Linked DNA regions of Drosophila melanogaster. The protein of the gene in region 2 purifies or fractionates together with the protein of the main gene of each other region. This does not show direct contact. Each region holds a gene or a part of one and is shown on either strand. Other genes may lie near its edges.

What was found.
Region 1: the proteins of Caf1-180 (region 2) and Caf1-105 purify together in Drosophila melanogaster (affinity purification with western blotting; 3 studies listed by BioGRID, with this or other methods). This does not show direct contact.

Annotation. Positions count from the first base shown.
Region 1 is NT_033778.4:10,465,471-10,470,421, reverse strand, and holds Caf1-105 (chromatin assembly factor 1, p105 subunit), read left to right. Parts: upstream 1-1,881; 5' UTR 1,882-1,976; coding exon 1,977-2,566; intron 2,567-2,625; coding exon 2,626-4,279; 3' UTR 4,280-4,421; downstream 4,422-4,951. Other genes in the region: whd (withered), read left to right, coding at 1-54, 117-476, 537-659; CG11777 (uncharacterized protein), read right to left, coding at 976-1,221, 1,485-1,721, 1,786-1,788.
Region 2 is NC_004354.4:8,601,635-8,608,020, reverse strand, and holds Caf1-180 (chromatin assembly factor 1, p180 subunit), read left to right. Parts: upstream 1-1,716; 5' UTR 1,717-1,832; coding exon 1,833-4,071; intron 4,072-4,134; coding exon 4,135-4,304; intron 4,305-4,366; coding exon 4,367-5,509; 3' UTR 5,510-5,884; downstream 5,885-6,386.

The sequences.
Region 1 (4,951 bases), on a different chromosome or scaffold from region 2:
TGCACCATTGAGTCATCCGCCTGGGTCAAGGCCATGCAGAACCCAAATACAACCGTAAGATTTTACAATTTTATGTAATTAGATCAAAGGCTAATCCATATATCCATGCTGTACAGAACGATGAGCGTGTGAAGATGATGCAGGCTGCCTGCGATCGTCACCAGTTGGGCTACCAGGATGCCATGTGCGGTCGTGGCATCGACAGGCATCTGTTCTGCCTGTATGTGGTCTCCAAGTACCTGGAGGTGGATTCACCCTTCCTCAACGAGGTGCTCAGCGAACCCTGGCGCCTCTCTACTAGTCAGACTCCGCACGGCCAGACGCCCAAGATGGACCTGAAGAAGCATCCGAACTGCATCAGCGCTGGAGGCGGCTTTGGGCCCGTGGCCGATGATGGTTACGGTGTGTCGTACATTATTGCCGGAGAGAACCTGATATTCTTCCATATCTCAGCGAAGACTACGTGCCAGCAAACGGTAATGAGGAGCCCTGATTCATGGCATGGAGCACAGCTAATCGAATTGTTTTCTTTACAGGATGTGCACCGCTTCGCTCAGAACATATCGCAGGCTCTGTCAGACATTCGCAGCATGTTCGAGCAGCACATGAAGGACCATCCGAAGCCCGCCAAATCACTCACAAACGGCAAATCCACATAATCCCGTTTAGTCCATGTAGTCGAGATTCTTGTTAGCATTTGTTTTTACCCCCCTAGTTGGTCGTTTTAAACACATCTGATACATCCGTCTAGTTCGAAATGAAGTGCAAAAGTCGTCGTGAGAGTTATACATAAACAATGCAATTTTTTATAAACAATTGTGACTTGGCTGGTTTTAAGATTTAGTCTTTAGATACTTTTGCACAATATTTGATGTTTCTCAATCAATTAGTCTGTAATCGAAGAAATCGCGTAACCTTAAGTGCTATAAATATATTTCATTTTAAGCGTACGATTGGCCTTTGTCTCTATCTCTATCACGTCGCCAAAGGATTGGCATGTATAGTTACTCCATTGATCTTCTTGTCCACATGGGGACGATAGTTCTTGGGATTGACGGGCAGTTTCTCCAGTTCATCCAGGGCATCGAATCCATCGATCACACGGCCAAAGAGCGTGTACTTCAAGTCAAGATTTGGCTGGGCGGCATAGGTAATGAAGAACTGGCTGGCATTGGCGTTCGGTCCGTTGTTGGCCATGGAAACCATTCCTCGATCAGTGTGCTGAAGAATTAAGTGGTCAAGAATTAAAGGATTTCTTCTTGTATCTTGGGAATCTTTTAGACTGAAAAACGAACCCAACCACATGACATATTAAAATGTAAAATGATATGGATGTCAACATACATTTTGAGATTCATGTGCTGGTTACATTCTAAGATTAGATACAATATACCCTTTAAAGCCGGAATGCTGGGTATTAAAGCCAGCTGTCATGGCGCAACTGAATGAGGGTTTTTCTGGTAAAACCTAGGTAGCCGGCTCACCTTAATGGTCTCCTTGAATTCGTCGTCGAACTTCTGGCCCCAAATGGACTGTCCATTCTTTCCGGTGTTCGTAGGATCTCCAGTTTGGACAATAAATCCCTTGATGTTTCGGATGAAGACGCAGCCGCTGTAATAGTCGCTCGCACACAGGGCGAGGAAATTTTCGCAGGCCTTGGGGCAGGCATCGCAGAAGAGCTCTATTTTGAGGTCACCCACGTCGGTGTGCAGCGTTACAGACTGCAAACAACACAACAAAATCGGTTAAAACTGTAAGAAATCAGATATTCCAACTTTTGTTTACCATTTTAAAAGTGATTGTGCAGCCCTCGTTTCGATATGCAATCGGTCCATTAACGATAACAGAAATCGAAAACAGCACTATTTGGTATTCCCGTGACCGAAGGTCACACTTTTAGGCGCGAATTCTGCCGCATAAAGTGATTTTTCTCTTCGCACTTCAACTAATCAACAGCGGCACATTAAGTAAACAGGATGAAGTGCAAGATACCCGAGATTTCGTGGCACAACCGCGATCCTGTCCTGAGTGTGGATATACAGCAAAATGGCCTGGGGCTGCGTTCTCCGACGATATGCCGCCTAGCCTCTGGTGGTTCGGATGCCCATGTCCTCATTTGGTATGTTAACCGAAGTGATGACGCCGAGGGCGTGGATGTGGAGCTGGCCGCCGACCTGTCCCGGCATCAGCGTGCCGTCAACGCTGTCCGCTGGTCACCGAACGGAGAACTGCTGGCATCCGGCGATGACGAGAGTGTTGTCTTTATATGGAAACAGAAGGCCGACCACGAAGTTGTCAACATTGTGGACGCCGATGGCTGCAGTGAACAGGACAAGGAGGTCTGGTTGACTCTCAAGGTACTGCGCGGCCATCGCGAGGATATCTACGATCTCAGCTGGGCGCCGAACTCACAGTTTCTGGTCAGCGGATCCGTGGATAACACAGCGATGCTCTGGGATGTGCACAGTGGCAAATCACTGGCTATTCTAGATGACCACAAGGGCTATGTACAGGGCGTGGCATGGGATCCCTGCAATCAATACATCGCCACCATGAGCACCGATAGGTAAGCAGTACAGTCCAAAATGTTCGAACTTTAATCGAATGGAGTTAAATTTCTTTTAGACAAATGCGGATATTTGATGCCAATACCAAGCGAGTTCTGCACCGAGTCAGCAAATGTGTACTCCCAGTAAAAGAGGACCACGAGATGCACGGCAAGAGCATGCGATTGTACCAAGATGGAACCTTGCAGACCTTCTTTCGCCGCTTATGCTTCACACCCGATGGTAAGCTGCTGTTAACGCCGTCAGGAATTACCGACTACGATGGTGTTGTGAAACCCATAAACACCAGCTATGGGTTTAGTCGCCATGATTTGTCCAAACCCGCCTTTGTGCTGCCCTTTCCCAAGGAATATGCGGTGGCTGTTCGCTGCTCTCCGGTACTGTACCGTCTGCGACCGTACAATGCGGAGAAGAATCCTCCGATTATTTCGCTGCCGTACCGCATGATCTATGCTGTGGCCACAAAGAACGCTGTGTTTTTCTACGACACCCAGCAGCCGGTGCCGTTTGCCATTGTGTCCAACATTCACTATAGCAGGCTTACGGATTTGGCCTGGTCGAGCGACGGCACCGTCCTGATCGTGTCCAGCACCGATGGCTACTGCTCACTGATTACCTTCGAGCCAACCGAGCTGGGCGACTGCTATGAAGATATGGAAACAGTGCTGAGCGTTGTTCTAAAATCTTCAGAGAATGCAACGGTGTTGAAAAAGAAGAGGCAAAAGCTGCGCAAGGTATCGTTGGATGAACCACGGAAACCACTGCAGGAAAAATCGAAACCAAATACAATTAGAAGGGCGTCCGAAGCAGGTATCACAGAGGTAGGGGAACCCGAGTTGGATGCTGAAAACGATTCATCAACGCACAGTGTCAGTTCGAATAAAACGAACAGTCCCAAAACAAAAGCTAGCGAAGAGGAGAAACCCACTCCCATCGCCATCAGGCGTTCGCCCCGTAAAAATTCGACTGCACCCATGCCGATTGCTATACGCAGAGCTCCGCGTAAGCCCGAGGATAAGGGGAATAGCGAATCGAGCAAGCCCAAAGACGAAATGGAAGTTACTCACACAAAAACGACTCAAGTGCAGAAAACAGTGGCATCACCTGTCAAGCGCAAGGTGAGCACAGAGGCAGTGCCTCCAGCAGAGACATCACAGCCGGCACTTGCAGTGATTCCGGTGTTCGAGAAGGAGATCATCAGTTCTGATGATAAGTTCGAATCGCCTGAGAAGAAGTCCCGACCCGCAACACCAATTCAAGTGCGTCGCCAGCCACGAACTCCTGGCAGCTCCAGCCAATTTAATCTAACGCCGAAAAGCCAACCCGCCAAGCAAGCTACTCCCATTGCAGTGAGGAGAACTCCACGCGTACTCATCGAAATGCCGGTGAACTCGCCTGTGGTCCCAATGGAGGAGGCCATGGATGCCTGGCCCCTCGACGAGAGCATCACACCCCTGCCAGCGACAAAGAAGGATTCTCGAAAACCCTTGCCGGAGACTGTAAAGACCGAAACGAAACCAGCGGTAATAGAGGCCAGCGAGGCCACCTGCGAGCGAACTGAGGACATTCGTCTGGTCTACGAGGATACGCAAGAGGAAACGCCAAAAAATCCGACTGAATCGGGGCCATCCACGCCGAATAACAAGACGCCACGTCGCGTGTCCTTGCGAACCATATCCACGCCCAAATCAAAAAAGAAACTTTTAGAGTAGACAATGCAATAGATTAGACTTAACAGATTTATGTTCATAAGATTAAGATTTTTGGGATCTTTGGGGATACCCCATACAAAATTGTAAAAAATAGCCAAAATTCTTCCTAATATATTCCACAATAAAACGCAACACAAGGTTTAGAGGTAATTGTATTGCTTTGGCTTCGGGATCTTTAAAACGAAAATTGCAGTCAAAATGCAGTAGTAATTTGCAGTTTGTACAGTTTCAGTAGTTCCTATATCAACATACACGATTCTTCTACCTGTGACAAAAGTCATCTGATAAGTTATGTGACTGTACTGGTCAACTGTACCACGAAATCCTCAAATTAAAAATGCTTCAAGAGGGTTGTTCTACCTGGTCCCAAGTTAAGTTTCCATGAATTTGCACGGGGACGTATTTTTTGGAAGGACTTTGTGAAAAGACATTTATTACCAGACAGCTAAATATTTTCAAGCAAAATTGCGACGAAAACAGATTTTTTACTTTTCCGTGACTAATAAGTGGCACCAAATTTTTTAATTTTCCCCTTTACTTTTTCACCACTTTTCCTCCTGATTCTTAAAATTGTTTGAAAGTCGTGCCATGCAATCTGTCCTAGCGCGCTTCGTCACTACGTGGACTGCCGTCGCCAGTGATGTATTTTCGGACCCAGTAGATGGGTCTATC
Region 2 (6,386 bases):
AGGCAAGGACGCTACAGGATACTGGTTACCGGGTACCGGGTACTGGGTACTCGGTATACCGCACCCGTTCACACGCATGACCGAATTCCCATTTTACGCCCCGTCTCTTCCGGGGCCATCGGTCGTGGGCCAAAAGTCCCAGCGGAATCGATGCGGCATTATTATTATTATCATTATTAAAGGAGTCGATATGTGGCGATGGCAAATCCCGGCCAATGCGTATAATATGCCACATGTCCAACCCACTACATCTGAACCCTCCCCCACCCCTCTGATTTTGTTGTATATATGTACATACATATATATTTAATTTTTCCAAAGAAGCCACAAGCGGCGACCGCAATTTGTATCTCATGTGAATTGGATTGCACATGTCAGTATTAGTCATCAAGATTTGCACTTTAGGGCCGTTGCAAGTGTTTTGTTTAAAAAAAAAATAATACTAATAGTTAGTACCCACAAATCACTTAAATATGTATCAATTCTATCTGATTATTATCTCACACCAGATTAATCAAATCATTACTTTTCTTTTGAGTTTACAAGCTAGGAGTACTTCATGGGATAATAAATCCAATGCATCGAAGTGCAATTGCAATCAGAATTATGCGCATGCACACAGTATATATGTATGTATAATCACAGAGTAGTTGGCGCCCCCAAATCCATCACCTCCTCCTCCTCTCTCCCCCCCCCCCCCCCCTTTGAGCTGTGTGTACGTGTTGGCCTATTGAAACAAATTGTAATTAAATGAAATGTATTCCAGGCCGCTGCGACGCAGGCTGCAGCCGGAGGCAGGATCTCTCATTCTCCCTCGGTTTGGGTCACCATGTCAACCAGGTCGCCAGGTGGAAAGGGGTCAACAGTGGCTATGACTGTGGCCGCAAGCATTTTTCCACTTATCCGGGATTAGCAAAAATGCCACATTAAACTAAGTAAACAATTATCGACAGTGGGGCGATATTTGTTAGCTGCATCAAAAGGTAACAATAACTACGTACCCAATCAACCTGATAGCTTGCAGAAATGGAATAAACTTGGGAAGACGACAGTATTTAATTGTATTTAATTATTCACAAAAAGCTCGCCCAGGGTGCACAACAATTAGCATTGTGTACTTTCGCTTGCATGAGTAGTTTTCAATGTCTATTTCAATTTTATTGCTCACTGTTCTGGAAAAGAAATTAATAACAAAACATTAAGAAAACGGCATTGACTCTAATTTGATATTCTTGTAAACAATATAAACTATTAAAAGAAATAAATCTTACAAATCTTACAAAGACATTTTTAAGTTTCTCCACTTCGCTATTTATGTTTTAAAGTCTCCACAATTAAGCTAAGCCAATAAAAAGGACACAAGGATATTCCTCTTTCTTATCTAAGTTCCCCACCTCCTCCGATCACAGTTTAATTCTCCAATTTGCCATAGTTTAATTCTCCAATTTGCCATAGTTTGACTCTTCACTTTGCCATATTAAAGACTTCTACCAAGACTAAAGTCTCCACTGAAACAATCAAAGGATTAGTGGGTAAAATTATCCACGGGAATAATCTACTACCACTAATCCTTTGATTATGGAGACTTTAGCCGTATGCAGGATCACTCTTATCATAGTTTTCCACCACTCGATCGCTTGCCAACACTGATGCACATTATATCGATCTATCGAGCGCGCGATCGGATCTATTGGCGGCAAAGCGCAACCGCAACTGCCATCGCTAGTGTGTTTTCACCGCCTTTTTTATTAAGCGAATAACAAGTGAAGATTTGCTGGGGGAAAACAGGAGCCGCAGGAAACAGGAAACAGGCAGACAGAGAGTACAGCAGAATGCACGCTGGCGTTGTTAAGACGCCGCTCAGCGGCAGGAAAAAAGATGCGGCTGTGCCGGCCAAATCAGCGGAAAAGACGGCCAGCGGTGGCAAGAAGTTCGTGCAGACGCGTTTGCCCTTTAAGTTATTAACGCCAGGCGGTGGGGCGGTGCCCACATCCTCCTCCTCCTCATCGTCCCCCGCCACTATCGGCTCTGGCCCCGTCACTGTAATCCTGGATGAGGACGATCCCGCTCCGCGCAAGCGAAAACTTTCGTACGACGATGAGTCGCCATCGGAGGGCACTGGCTGCTCTACGGGGCAACTGCGACGTTCGACCAGCAAGGAGAATCTGGATCTGGCCAGTTCCATAGCCACTAAAAAGGTCAAGACCACGGATTCGGTAGTGGAAGATGTCATAGAACTGGATGAGGACGAGGCCGACAAGGAGATAGAGGACCAGGATCAGTTGGTAGAGGCCAAGTCCTCCAAGGAGGTCAAGTTGAAGCCCAAGAAGTCGGAGGGCAAGAAAGGCTCGCCGGCACCCATACAAATCAAGCTGCCATTGGTCAACAAACGATCAAAGCGCAGAAAATCCCTGAAGAAATCTGAGGAACCGCTGGAGACTTCGACCGCGGATGTTGCCAAGGGGGACAGCGAGTCCAGCGATGACATAGAGATTATCGCCGAAGAACTGAACCCCCAGAAGAGGCAAAAAGTACAAACGCCGCGTGAGAAATCCCCAGAAAACAGCTCTACAAGCGGCAAGCACACGGAGGAGGTCATGCAGAAGAATGGAAAGGACTCAAAGAAGCAGGAGGAGTCCATGAAGGCGGTCAAGGAGTCGAAGAAGGAAGAGCCAAAGACCGCAGAACAAAATAAAAAGAACGATCAGGCCACAATAGATCTCTTTATGGGAAAGAAAATGGAAACTAATAAGAAGGATAAACCGGAGGTCAAGACCACAGCTAAAGACAACAAGAAAGATCCACTGATTGCAGAGGATTCCAAACCAAAAGAAGTCCCTAAGAAGGAAACAAGCAAAACCGGAGGAAAAGGCAAGAAGGAGGGAGCAAAACCAGCTGAAAAGAGTAAGAAAGAAGAGAAGGAAGACAGCACAACAAAGTCAAAGAAAGAGAAAGCAGACTCACCTGCAAATAATCAAAAAGAACAACAAATTGGAGTCAAGAAAAAGACTTCTGAACCAGAAGATGCATCGAACTCACACAAATCGGTGACGGCCAAAAAGGATTCCAAGAAAGACGAGGCATCTACTCAAGTTAAGTCGGACAACGAATCTCCGGAAGCAGCAGAAATCTCGATGATCCTCTCGACCAGCGAGGCCAACAGTTCCAGCAGCGAGCACGAGATGGATGCGGATACGGACACCGCGGCCACCGACAGACCCTCCGCCCAAAAGGAGACTCGCCTGAACAGGAAGAGTCTGCCGGAAGTAACCGGCGCCCCGAAGGGTCTTACGCCCAAACAGCAACGACTCATGGAGCAAAGGAAAAAGGCTCGCGAGGAGAAGGAACAAAAGCTGGCGGAGGAGCGTCGCCTCAAGCAACAGGATAAGGAGCACCGCGAGCAGCAAAAGAAACAGGAGCGCGACGAAAAGGAACAGCAGCGGAAGCTGGAGAGGGATCAGAAGGAGCAGCAGAGGAAGATGGAAAAGGAGGAGAAGGAGCGCAAGCGACAGGCGGAGGTGGACTCCAAGAACGAGGAGAAGCGCAAGCGCAACGAGGCCAAGGAGGAGGTGCAACGCAAAAAGGACGAGGAGCGTCGCAAGAAGGAGCAGGAGCGTGAGGAGGCCGAGCAAAAGAAGAAGCGCGCCGCCGAGTCCTTCTCCAAGTTCTTCGTGCCCAAGCAGCCCAAGTGCGGCAGCGGATCCAACAACACATCCTACCTGGAGCACGAGCAAAGCAGCTGCGACAGCTCCAAGGCCAGCAGCCAAACGCTGGCCTTTCGACCATTTCAGATCAAGGACGACATGCTGCTAGCACCGATCGTGCGCAACTCGCTCGGCCAGGAGCAGCGCTCCCAGCTAGATGGACTTTTTCGACACCGGGACGAGGAAGCTGACGACGAGGAGGAAGAGGAGGAGCAGGACATCGTCAGACGAAAGCCGCCGAATCGGGCTAATCTCTATCTTAGTGAGTTGAGCAGCGGACGGCGCAAGCCGCTCAAGATGCAGCGCGATGTGAAGCTCCAAAGACGCACCAAGGACGAGGAGGATGATGACGATGTTCAAGTGATAGGTAGGATATGGCTGCAAGATATTAAAGAAGCATTTGTTCTTCACCAATCATCTGCATCTACAGATTACCTTTCACCGGCGGGTCTGCCCATCGAGGTGGAGCAGCCCAAGCAGCTGACCCGAATGAAGGCCAAGTATCTGCATTTCGCCGACAACCGGAGGCCACCGTACTACGGCACCTGGCGTAAAAAGAGCAGCAGCATCTCCGCCCGACGCCCGCTGGCACAGGATAAGGTATGGATCACTTCTTCTGGCTTAAATATCATAACACAAATATCAATAATCATATAACGCAGGTGCTCTTCGACTACGAAGTGGACTCCGATTGCGAGTGGGAGGAGGAGGAGCCGGGGGAATCGTTGAGCGCTAGCGAGGACGAGAAAGAGAAGGAGTCCGAGGAGGAATCGGAAGAGGAGTACAACGAGTGGTACGTGCCGCACGGACATCTCAGCGACGAGGAACTGCAAAACGACGGCGACGGAATGGAAGACGGCCACACGCGGGAGGCGCAGAAGGCCAAACTCCAGGTGCTGCAGCAGGAGTTCGCTCAGGAAATGAAGAAGCAGACGAAAAAGATCAAGGCGCGCCTGTTGGGTCCCGTTTGGCTGGACGAGAACGGCAACAAGTCCGAGCTATTCCCAGCTATCTTTGCCCACACCATCGACATGTACGCCTGTTGGCAGGTGGAGCCACTCAGCCTAGAGCCTCCGCCAGAACCGGAGCGTCAGGATCAGACGCCAGAGCAGCCGGTGCCGCTGCAGCTGGACGATCGTCTCATGCAGCAGCTGGTGCGCCTTACCCACGGCAATCGGAACTCGAAGACGTTCCTGATCAACGAATATTTAGAGTACCTGAAAACCCAAGCGACCGCCGAGGCCAATCAAACAACGCTGCCCTCAAAGGCTGTGCTGCGCGAGAAATTCGACGAGCTTGCCAGCTGGAAGACCGTGGAGCTGAGCACACCCGAAGCCGCTGCCGCCAGTGCCAACAGCGCCAAAAAGGGCAGGAAACCGAAGAAGCGCCTCTGCTGGGTGGTCGCCAGCGATATGCTGGAAAAGTTCCAGCTGCCGGATCTCCAGTTGCAGAATCAATGGAACTACACGTTGACGCCCAAGGTTAGCGACGGACCAGATGCAGCGCAGCAAGAGCAAAGTCCACCAGCGGATGCGGTACCAGCCGCCTCGCCCGCTTCCAACCAGACCACAAACTCGGCACCCACAACGCCCATCAGTGGACAGACGCAGGCGGGTCAGGGCGTCAAGAAGCGGGCCACCCTGATCATGTCCGTGCCCAGGGATCAGCCGATTCCCTCGGCCACCAAGAACAAGCTGATTAGCCAGTTTCTGCAACGCCAGAGCGATGCCAGCAAACCCAAGGAGAAGATGCAGGAGAAGCCACCGCCCATTGTCTTCGATGATGTGGTGATGCTCTCGGATTAAGACTAGGATTAAGCTAGATCCCCTAAGGATCTTCCGCTTCCTGCTAAGCGAGTATTTTAAGAATACACATTTTTTTTGTCGCTAGTTTCACTCGTAAGTTGATTTAATTTTAAATGTTCCGATGTACGTTCGACTTGTATGTCCTTCTCAGCCAACCCATCCCCACCAGGGTCACCCCTGCCCCAACCAGCATCCCACCCACTCGATCGCAAAGTTTTTAAGAAGTTGAGCAACAGAAGCTCGCAGGATTGCAATTTTCATTGAGCCAACTAAACATATATAGTATATATGCAATAATACACTACCTACCTGATGATGATCTTTCATTTGATGGCGATTTTGGGTTCGCATTGGAAATATATAGACACAATACATAAATCTATAGCTACATTTTTCATTTCAGTCCCAAATTATTGGGGGTTTCTTGGTGGAAATCAGTGGAAACAGCGCTTGAAGTTATTTTTAAAACTTGTTTGTTTATTCTTTTTGCCATTTTTGTTACGATTTACGTTTCAATTAAATGAATTATTTAATATACATTTAGTTAAGATTCCCGACAAAAAAAATTAGAAGTGTGTGTTTGGGGATGTGTTGTCTTTAAAAACGTGGACGTGAACGTGTGTCGTACCATTAGATCTGCAAGAGTTAGAGTCCCATCTACATTTAAATACGATTATCCGATTATCCATTAATTATTGCTATTGTAATCGTTGTTTAATTGTTATCTGCCGTCGATATTAGTTAACCGCCGCCCCCCGTTTATCCTCCTTCCCACGTTCCCAAAAGTTTGCTATGCTAACTAAAAGAGCCGAGCATTGTGAGGAAATCTCAAGTTAAAAAAAAAGTGCGTTTACACAGGCGATTATTTTTGAAATAA